2 linked regions of the Caenorhabditis elegans genome follow. The protein of the gene in region 1 purifies or fractionates together with the protein of each later gene. This does not show direct contact. Each region holds a gene or a part of one and is shown in the gene's direction. Other genes may lie near its edges. The genes, in order: F53F4.15 and set-27.

Evidence for each region.
Region 2: the proteins of F53F4.15 (region 1) and set-27 fractionate together in Caenorhabditis elegans (co-fractionation; one large-scale study listed by BioGRID). This does not show direct contact.

The regions. Positions count from the first base shown.
Region 1 is NC_003283.11:13,619,067-13,621,998, forward strand, and holds F53F4.15 (Neuropeptide-Like Protein), read left to right. Parts: upstream 1-1,909; 5' UTR 1,910-1,940; coding exon 1,941-2,088; intron 2,089-2,134; coding exon 2,135-2,340; 3' UTR 2,341-2,410; downstream 2,411-2,932. Other genes in the region: srd-11 (G-protein coupled receptors family 1 profile domain-containing protein), read right to left, coding at 1-59, 109-275, 510-620; F53F4.16 (uncharacterized protein), read right to left, coding at 2,516-2,575, 2,620-2,754.
Region 2 is NC_003281.10:2,698,839-2,707,046, forward strand, and holds the start of set-27 (protein-histidine N-methyltransferase), read left to right. Parts: upstream 1-2,098; 5' UTR 2,099-2,102; coding exon 2,103-2,148; intron 2,149-2,242; coding exon 2,243-2,399; intron 2,400-3,252; coding exon 3,253-3,369; intron 3,370-5,118; coding exon 5,119-5,662; intron 5,663-6,545; coding exon 6,546-6,908; intron 6,909-7,937; coding exon 7,938-8,208.

The DNA.
Region 1 (2,932 bases):
AGAACCCCATTAGCAATGACCATAGACCATGAGCTACTAATGAAATGTTTATGCTGTATCTGAAATTAAGAAAATGAAGCGTGTCGGGGAATATGTATTATGGTGTACATAAAATAGCAGACATGGGGTCCAAAATAAGTGCACAGTCCACGTGACAAATAAGCCATTGTAAATCCAGCCGGAATATGCCGCATTTGAATGAAAAGATCTGTGAAACAGGCGAGGAAATCGGTCAATGCAAAGTTTATGAGAATTGTGGTGTAAGCGGCGATTGTCTGGAAATGGAAACTGATGTTTGAAGGTTGAAATTGCTTGTCTATGTGATGAGGAATTTCTGCAGAACATTTCCAGCTATCCCACACCTAGTTATAATGGCAGAGTTCTGTAGAAAGCTGAGCCTATATTACGAGATTTGCACAGTTTTTACCAAACTGGGAACTAAAGCTCTCAAATTTTGATTTTAATCTATATTTTATGATTAGTTCAAAGATTTTTCACGAAAAACTAACCTTCGGAGTCCGAAAAAGTGCCAAAAAGAGCACAATTGAATTGAGAATGCAGCCAGAAACTCCGGCAAACGTATGGAAAGAAAGGAAGAATAATGTGATAGAGTCCAGCATTTTTCAAGTTTTTCTGAAAGTGAAAAAAAAAATGGTAAAAGCTCTCTCTTAAATATAAATTTTTCAATAGAAAGAAAATCTTTATTTTAAGGCTTCACTGGAACGATGACTGTGAAGATTATGGTTACAGAATGATTATATTGTTCTAAGGAATGCTAAGAATTTTGCAAAATAAATAATTTTTTGGGAACTAGATTTTCCGTAATCCGTAAAAAAGTAAACAATTATCATATCTATTCACTCGACTTTTCGAAAAAGGAAGGAAAACACATCATGTGCACGTAAGATATCTCTATTTATGCTTCCTCGTGATGGCTCTCAGAGCTGTTAATTGCTTCATTCAGTAGAAAGCGTCTGGCGTACCTGAGAATATATGTACTGTTTGAATTACTCATAGTCTGGGATATATCTGTGTCGTTTCGTATTATATCAATAGTCTAGAACATTAAGTTAACTTGATGTTCTAGACAATTGTCAAAAAAAATTTACAGATCATCAAAATAGCGACGCCTTAATCATATTAAATCTATTACATAGATGTCTGAAGATGATAATTTTTGCCATATCTTACGCGCTTGGGTCTCGCCACGCTGACTACTGACTACTGTAACTCGTGCTGATTTATGACTGATCATGTTTTTATTTAAAAATTTTAGAAGCAATGTTTCATTTGAAACGAAAATTATAATGCATTATTACAGTAACTCGTTGTCAGCGTGGCGAGACCGTGCGCATAAGTATTTAAGATGTGGCGAAAATTCTTATCTTTAGATGTCTAGAATGCGTATTGCGCAAAATATTTCGCGCTACAGTAGTAATTTAAATATTTTCTGTAGTTTTCGCTACGAGATATATTGCGCGTCAGATATGTTGCACAACACGCATTCTCAGAAAGTAGTGATCTCGTAATAATACATTTGGTTAAGGCGATGTCCACGAATTACAAAATTTTATGAGAAAAATATAGGCAAGTTTTAAGAATTCATTCTTGTTCTCTTTCAGAGGTAAATAACGATTGGCTTTTACGCTGAGAAATTGGAAGTGAAACGGTAGAAGTTAAATCCAACCTACAACCTAATGCATCGTTATTCAAAAATTATGTTGTTATTTGGAAAACCTGATAAATCTGAACTATTTATATTTTTAAAGTTAATTTTCAATTAACTTTATTACATACAAAAATGCATTGCGAATCCAGTTCGCCCATATTTTTCAATCTGTCGAGATCACTGAGATATCACCAAAAAATCGTGTTTTCTTGAAGTTTTTCACCTAATCGTCTTTTCCATATTTCTCTTTCCCATTGTATGATTATCAATAATGTTTTCTCTTCATCTCTCTATTCTTTGCTTCACTCTCCTGATTGGTTATTCTATTGAAATGCCACCTGGTCGAATGTGCCTTCCGGAAAGAGTCAATTTTCGTAAAGTCTGGCCATGTGAACATGATAAAACTGCTGCCGAGATTTGTAGGTTTCACGGAGAAGTTGTAGAATTTAATATTACTTTTTGAAGTAGAAGAACGGGAAGATCGTGAAGCAAATCTTCGTGGAGCTCCGTCTGCATTTGCTCGGACAGGATTCTATGATCGTCTATTTCTTCAACAAAATCTTCCAACTGTCTATGATGATAATATTCCATATTATCCTAATTATGGCTACAATCCCAACAAGCCAGTCTGGGGATTGTATCGTTATTCTAACTATTTCATCAATCCATAATTAAATAATTTTAATGAATGAATAAATTTAAAATGATAACAAACAACGACTAAAAACTAAAAGAAAAAAACGAAAAGGGCCTATGGGGGAAAACTCAAAACCAATGATAATGGCGGAAAAATACTCGTATTTGACAAAAATTCGGAGAATGATGAGGAATTGCACATCGATAGATCTAGTTTTTGACGATTGCCGGATGTAGAATCTCGTCACGAAGTGATTTTCCGCCAAGAACCTAAATATATTTCATTAACTGCAACTAATTAGATTTAATTTTACCTGTGCTCTGTCTGGAATATAACTTTTGTAGTTGATCGCCACATATGTAGGATATGTGAGTGCACATACAGTATAATAAGCTCGTAGCAAGGTCATTCGAGCAGGCCGTTCCAGGTGATACCAGGGTAAACTCATCTGGAATAAAAGTCATGAAGTCAAGAAAAATTAGTTCTTTTATGGGTAGAATGAAAGATTCAACTCAATTTTTCAAAATTTAGAAAATCACCGAAAATCACAAAAATTGGTAAAATTGATAATTTTTCAACAAAAAAGTGAATTTCTATGTAGTTTTATTCATGTTTCGTTGACGTTT
Region 2 (8,208 bases), on another chromosome or scaffold:
TTTTAATCTCAAAAAACAAAAAGTAATACGGGCGATTTACTCAGCAGTAAACAAAGTAAATAAATAAAAAATTGTTGGTTTTCCGGGAAATGCAACTGCGCTCCATTGCTACGCGCGAGAGAGTGGAGACGGCAGAGACAATGGAGTTTTTTGCAGAATTTTAATTATTTTAAGCTTAAATTCATAAATTCAGCTGTTTTTTCTTAAATTTTTATTTCAAAATAAGAGGAGTAATATAAAAAAAAGCAATATTTCACAACTGACCGCCCGTGTTCCGCTGTTGATAAGTGTCCGTTGATAAGAATCCGATTAGAAATCTAGAGATTGACACGCTTACCGTATTTTTTGGCCATTTTTGAATGTTTTGCGCTGATTTTAGCATTTATTAATGCGATTTGTTATGTTTTTCTGTTCAAAAAAATGATTTTCCTCTTGAAAATTGGCGTTTTGTCGCAAAAAATGGGGAAAAAAGCTCCCATAGTCCTTCGTAAAGAACAATAGGCTTCCTTATGTGTCATTCACTGTCCGTTCTAGTCAATATTACGAAAAAATGGCAAAATTTGAGAAAAAGCTAAAAAAAAAACCCCCAAAAAACTGCCTTTTTCATCAAAAATTTGCAGAATTTTCTCACTTTTGGCTAGAATTCTTGAATTTTCTCCATTTTTGCTATTTCTTCTCGTTTTTCACATTTAAATCGCCAATTTTAAATCTTAACTGAGAAAAAAATTGGTAAAAACGGTGAAAACTGAAATATTTTTGGTTTTTGAACCATAGGTGTCAAATTTCAGGTAAAAATCCGAAAAATGCTCAAAAATTACCATTAAACCCCCCCCCCCCCCCCCCCCCCAATAAGCCCCGCCCACATAATGGCTTCAATTTTTTTTTGAATTTTTCACCAACTTTTTAGCTAAAAATTTAGTGGAAAAAACCTGAAAAAAAAAACCTCAAAATTTACAATTTTCATTAAAAATTTCATGTTTCCGGTGATAAAAATTTTCACAATAATTTTCAAACCCCGCCCATATAATGCCTTTAATTTTAATTTTTTTTTTTGAATTTTTCACCAACTTTTTAGCTAGAAATTCACTGGCAAAACCCTTAAAAAAACCCTCAAAATTTACCATTTTCATTAAAAATTTCATGTTTCCGGTGATAAAAATTTTCACTAATATTCAAACCCCGCCCATATAATGGCTTTAATTTTAATTTTTTTTTTTGAATTTTTCACCAACTTTTTAGCTAGAAATTCACTGGCAAAACCCTTAAAAAAACCCTCAAAATTTACCATTTTCATTAAAGATTTCATGTTTCCGGTGATAAAAATTCTCAAATAAGCCCCGCCCATATAATGGTTTAATTATTTTTTTCCACTTTTTTAAAGCTAATATTCAGCTTCTAACTGGTAAAAACCTGAAAAAAACCTCAAAATTTACAATTTTCATCAAAAATTTCAAGTTTCTGGAAATAAAAATTATCGACGAAGCCCCGCCCATATAATGGCTTTAATTTAAAAAAAAACTTCCACTTTTTAGCTAGAAATTCACTGGAAAAAACCCTTCAAAAACAGTTCATAAAATATGATTTTCATTAAAAATTTCATGTTTCCGGTGATAAAAATTTTCACAATAATTTTCAAACCCCGCCCATATAATGGCTTTAAATTTTTTTAAAATTAAAAAAAAAATTTTTTTGAATTTTTCACCAACTTTTTAGCTAGAAATTCACTGGCAAAACCCTTAAAAAACCCTCAAAATTTATAATTTTCATGAAAATTTTCATGTTTCCGGTGATAAAAATTCTCAACCTAGCCCCGCCCCTTTAATGGCTTCACTTAAGCTTCTGCCTGACAAAATCAATGTACCTTCCAAACCTTCCAAACCCGCCGAACTTTCCGGCACAAGTGCGTTGGCGGGGCTTGCTGGTGGCCGCTGTGTAATATGTGGCTCAATGAGCACACACAGCAAGCAGGCTCTGTGTCGCCTGCTGTTGGTCACTTTTCACTCGTTCTTCCACCTTTTGTTCGCAATTTTTCCCCCAAATTTTACGTTATTCGATCGAAATTTTGAGTAAAAAATTGAAATTTTAATCAAAAAATTCCAGTAATGGCGCCATCTCCAACTGCAGAACTTGAGGATCAAATTCTGGGAAGTTAGTGGATTTTTTTTTCGTAAAAAATTAAGGCAGGCATACCTACGTGCCTGCCTACCGCCTACGATCAAAAAAAAAACGATGAAAATTCCAGAAATCGCAACACTTTTCGAAGAAACTCTGAGTAAGCAGCCACCGTCGAATATTGTCGAACTATGGAAGGAACACGTTGAAATTCGGCGGATTCTTAATGATGTTATCAGTATTCAGGCAAAACTTGGTGATACTGATGAGCGATTAGCTAATTCTAAGTGAGAAATTGGAGAAAATCGGAAAAAAAACCCCCCGGGAAATGTGAACATTTCGTCTTAAATTACTTCTAATTTGGAAAAAAAAATTGATGGGAAAGCCATTGAATGGGCGGAGCTTAACTGTTTTCAGATCATTTTTAAGATGAAACAGATGCAAAAATATATCAAAAATTAAATTTTTTTTGAATTTTTTTAACTACTAAAAATTGCAAAAAACACCAATAAATTTGAAGAAAAACCTTCTAAAAATTTCTTTACAAATATCAAAAAATACTAAAAAATTTAAAAATAATGATAAAGAAATGCAAAAAAAAAAAATTTCAAAGAATTTCAAAGAATATCAAAAAAGTTTTTTTTTTTTTTTTTTTTTTTTAATTTTTAAATTTTTTTTTTATAATTTTTTTTTAGTGAAAAAATGCCAATTTAGGCCCCGCCCACATATTGGCTTAGTTTTTAAAAATGGAAAAAAATTTTTCAAAAAATACTTTAAAATTTCAAATTTTTTTAACCTTAAAAATTCTTTAAAAAAATCCTAAAAATTGCACAAATTGCAAAAAATCCTAAAAATAAAAAAAAATTCTTTTAAATTCTTTTAAAAGTTCAATAAATTGCAAAAACAAAACCTTTAACATTCAAAAAAAAATTGCAAAAAAATCTAAAAATTGCAAAAAATCCTACAAATAAAAAAAACCTTCAAAATTCTTTTAAAAATTCAAAAAATTGCAAAAAATTCTAAAATTTTCAACAAAAAATCCTTTAAAATTCTAAAAAAAAATTGCAAAAAAAAAATAGAAAAAATGCAAAAAAAATTCTAAAATATTTTTAAAAATTACAAAAAAATCCAAAATTTCAGACGAGACGCGGATTCAATAAAAACATTTCTTGCGTGGGCGGATGGAGTTGGAATTGCTCGAAATAATGTGACAATTGGAAGTACAAAAACTGCTGGGCTGTCACTTCAGGCAACTGGGTACATTTTTCCATACATATATAATCAAAAAAATTTTTTTCGATATTTCGAAAATCGAAAAATCGAAACAAAAAATTCAATTTTTAATCAACTTTTGTTGATAATAAAATTAGAAAAAATATACTTGTTTTTTCTAAAAATTAGAAAATTGACCACTATTTAAATTTTGAAATTTTGGTAATTTCTCCTATTGTTAGAAAAAAAAATCATACGTTTTCTAGAGTTTTTCCCGTAATTTTTGATAATTTTAGAAATATTTTTACTTAATTTTTCGATTTTCCCTCTTTTTTTAATCGAAAAATGTTTCGTTTTTACTTTTTTCTGGAAAAATCTAATTTTTTAAAGGATTAATCTCATTTTAATCCTTTTTTATATTCCATGAAAGAAACCGAAAAATCAAAATTTTAAATCGAAAAAATTTAGTTTTTCAAATTTTCGGTTTTCTCTGAAATTTTTTTTTTCAAAATTTGAAAAAAAAAATTTGCTTTAAGTTTTCGCCATTTTTCTTCTTTTTAGAAGACATTTTTTCATGTTTCCTTATGTTTTTTCTCATCAATATTACGGGTACACAATATTCAAAGAATGCGTATTGTACAACATATTTGACGCGCGAAATATGACTATATCTCGTAGCGAAAACTACAGTAATCCTTAAAATGATTACTGTAGCTCTTGTGTCGATTTACGGGCTCTGTGGCATTTGATTTTTATTCTATTTTCCTTCGTTTTTTGTATTACTTTCTCATTTTTAGCTTAATTTTATTATTTCATCGATATATAAATGATTTTAATTAATTTCAAAAATCGAGCCCGTAAACCGACACAAGCGATGTCTAGCTACAGTATTCATTTAAAGAATTACTGTAGTTTTCGCTACGAGATATAGTTATATTTTTTGCGCGTCAAATATATTGCACAATACGCATTCTCGGAATTTAGTGTTCCCGTAATATGAACAACATTAGATTAAAAATCGAATTTTATCGTAATTTTCTGAAAAATTTTTGCTTCGGTTTCAAAAAAATTGAAAAATCTTAAAATAATTTTTCTAAAATAAATTGCAAAGAAACCAAAATTTCCAATTCCAGACCAGGGGTGTGCGGCAAATCTCAAAATTTGCCGAGCTCGGCAAATTCGGCAAATTTGCCGTGCTTAACAAACTCGGAAAATTTGATACTTTTTGATGTTTTTTGGAGCACCAAAACTACTGAAATCTTAACACTCATCTGGTTTCTGAATAAGTTCCGTGTAGTATGTCTGCTTAAGCATCAAAATAACGCAATTTTGTGTCATTTTACTAAATTTTTGGCGAAAAAATCAATGGTTTTAGTCAAATTTTTGACGTGTGCGGCAAATTTCGAAATTTGCCGCACACCCCTGATTCCAGACCAATTCCAAAAAGTCATATAGTCGCTCGTGTTTCCTCATTTTTTTTTCTTATCACTATAACCAAAATTCGGTTAAAAACAGAAGTTTATGGTGATTTTCTGATTTTTTTTTGATTTTTTGGTTTTTGAGGTTAAAAAAATCGAAAAATTTTTAAACCGTAAAAAAGTGAAAAATAATTTTAAAAAAATACTTTTTTTTAATTACGAAGAGTTGCAATTTTTCCTTAAAAAAAAGGAAAGAAAAAAGAAATTTAAAAATTGTTTTTTTTTTCTGAAAAACATTATGAAAACCTTTTGATTTTTTATCTAAAATTAAATTAAATTTACACCGTTTTCATCAAAGAATTTTTTCACATTTCAGACCAATTCCAAAAAGTCATATAGTCGCCCGTGTCCCCCGCCACGCAATGATCACTCTGGACCTCGCAAAAAAATCTTCACTTCTGAAAAAAGCCTTCGAAAAAGATCCGATAGTCGGTGGAATGGATAATGTCGGTCTCGCACTGTTCCTCGCATGTCAATGGATTCAAAATGAGAAATCAAAATGGAAATCATACATTTCAATTCTTCCAACAACATTTCCCACACCACTTTTCTACTCGGAAGAGCAACTTCTCCAGTTGAAGCCATCACCGATATTCGAAGAAGCTATCCTGTTCTATAGAACAATTTCTCGGCAGTTCTGCTATTTTTTGTTGGCCATCGCGAAGAACAAGATCTACGAAGCGGCACAGAGACGAAAAGATGCACGGAATGCGATGGAAACTCCGATTTTCTATAATGTTCCGTTTAACGTCGCGAATTTCACGCCGAAGCTGTATTTCTGGGCGGTTGGAGTTGTGACGACAAGAGTTAATATGGTTCCAAGTGAAAATCAAGTTGGAGAAGATGGAAATCCGGTTATTGTAAGGGAATATTGATTTTTAAAAAGTACTAAATTTTTTAAATTGGACATTTTCAAAATAAATTAAAAAATCTTTGAAAAATCTCGATTTTTTTCATTTTTCTGAAAAAATTGACACAAAAAGTTCCGAAAATTTTAATAAACAATTTTTTTTTTTGGGTTTAATCTGAAAATTCCCTCATTTTTTGCTTTTTTAAAATACATTTTCATCAAAATTTTGATCCTTTTGATGAAAATGTGAAAATTTTCGTAATTTTCCAATTTTTTTTCAGAAAAAATTCAAATTTTCGTAATTTTCTAACTTTTTTCACAAACATTCCAAATTTTCGTACTTTTTTGTTTAAAAAATCCTTAAATTTTGGCGATTTTCTTTAATTTTTTCGTAAAAATTCACTTTTTCGAATATTTAGGCCAGAAAAAATTGAAAAATGAAATAAACAAATATAATTTAATTTTAACTAGAAAAAACCGAAAAAAAAAACTGATTGATTTTTATTAGGAAATCAATTAATTTCTATAATTATGAAGAATGATAAAATTTCTTTTTTTTTTCAGTTTTCAAAAAAAACATTTTCGCAGAAATTCTTGCTTTTACGACTTTTCTTCAGAAAAATTGATACTTTTTGTATTTTTTACCGTTAAAATAACGAAAAAAAATTGCAAAAAAAACTCCAAAATCTCTAAATCAATTTTTTTTTTCGTTATTTCTGTTTTTTTCTTTACAAAAATTAAAGTTTATTTGATAAGTCAATAATTTCGATGCTATTTTTCTCAAAATTGTTTCAAAATTTAAAAGTTAGAAAGAAAATTCAAATTTTTTTTTTCAAAATTAAAAAAAATTCGATTTTCGAAAAAAAATCTAATAAAAAGTGTTTTTTTTTCAGATTCCAGCATTAATCCCAGTGCTAGATATGGCGAATCACGAAAATGTGCTCACAGATGTGCTCACTGAGCCAATTGAAGATCTTGTATGCTATTCACCAGAAGAAGAATGTGCAGTTATAACAAGTCATTGTGATGTAAAAGCTGGAAATGAAGTTACAATATTTTATGGATGCCGTAGTAAAGGAGAACATTTACTTCATAATGGATTCGTACCAATTTATCACGGAAAATTCGACGTTTTAAAGCTGAAAATTGGAATTCCGAAGACTGATAAGACGTTGGATGCGAAGAAAAAATTGATTCAGAAATTTGTGAAAAAAGTCTATTGTGCTGGAAATATTTTCCATGTTGATCTTTATAATGTGAGTTTTGTACCGATTTTCGGAACGGCGGTCGAAAAATTAAAATATAAAATTTTTTTTTTTTTTTTCAGTGTAAAAATATGCGAATTTCTCTAAAAATCCGCTTTTGTTAATTGAAAATTCAAGAATTTTAGAGAAATTTGAATTTTTTATAGTAGAAATTGAAAAAGTTAGATTTGAAAAAAATTCGAACTTTAAATATAAGAAAATTTGTATATAAAAAACCAATTTTTAAAATAAAATAAAATTTTGAGCTGCAAAATTCCAGAAATTAGTTACTTTTTAATTGAAAATTTATCAATTTTCAATTTTTAGTTAGAAATTTTGATATTTTTTGAATTTTTCTAGTTGAATTGGAAAGAAATTTATAAAAATTTAAAAATTTCCCGATTAAAAAAGTTATTATTTGTGCTAAAAAATAAAATATTTAAAATCAGAATTTCAGATGGAAAATTTTATTTTTGGTGAAAAATCCACTTTTTCGAATATTTAGGCCTAAAAAATTGTAAAATTAAATTAACAAATGTGTGTGTGTTTTTTTTTTAATTTTTTTAATCTTCAAATTTGTAAAAATTTGATTTTTAAAAAATCGTCTTTTTTTGAATTTTTTAGTATTGAAAAAAGCAAAAAAAAAAAATTTTTTTTGAGTTTTTACATTTTTTCTAGCCTAAATATTTGACAAAGTGGATTTTTTTAACGGAAAAATTGAAGAATCTAACGAAATTTGAGGAACTTTTTGAAAATAATTTTTTGATAATTTTTAAATTTTTAGCAAAAAAATCAGGATATTTTCAAATTAAATTCAAAGTTTTACTTTTAAACAAGTAAAATTTTCGGAATTAAAAAAAAAATACTTTTTTGAAAAATCTAATAATGTTTACTTTTCGTCAAATTTTTGAATTTCAATATTTCAAATTGAAATACTATTTTTTTCCAAAATTTTTACATCAACAATAAATAATTCTAAACCTGAAAAAAATCTCAATGAAATTAGAATTTTCCAAAAGATTACTGTAGTTTGACTTACAGTACCACGAACAACCATTCCCACTGGATCTTCTAATGTTCGCAGCGATTTTCGTCTCCACAACACCCACCGAAGAAGCCGTTTCAGCACCGGAAAACCGTAAAAAAGGATTGGAATTTTTGAAAACTCGCTTTTCACTGCTCAAAAGATCTTATGAATCGTCATTTGATGCATCAAAACTCAAAGAAATTGGAATTGATGGAGATTCGGCTCGCCTAAAGTCTGCGGAGCTCGATATTCTACAATTGGCTCTGAATTACTGTGAAACGCTGG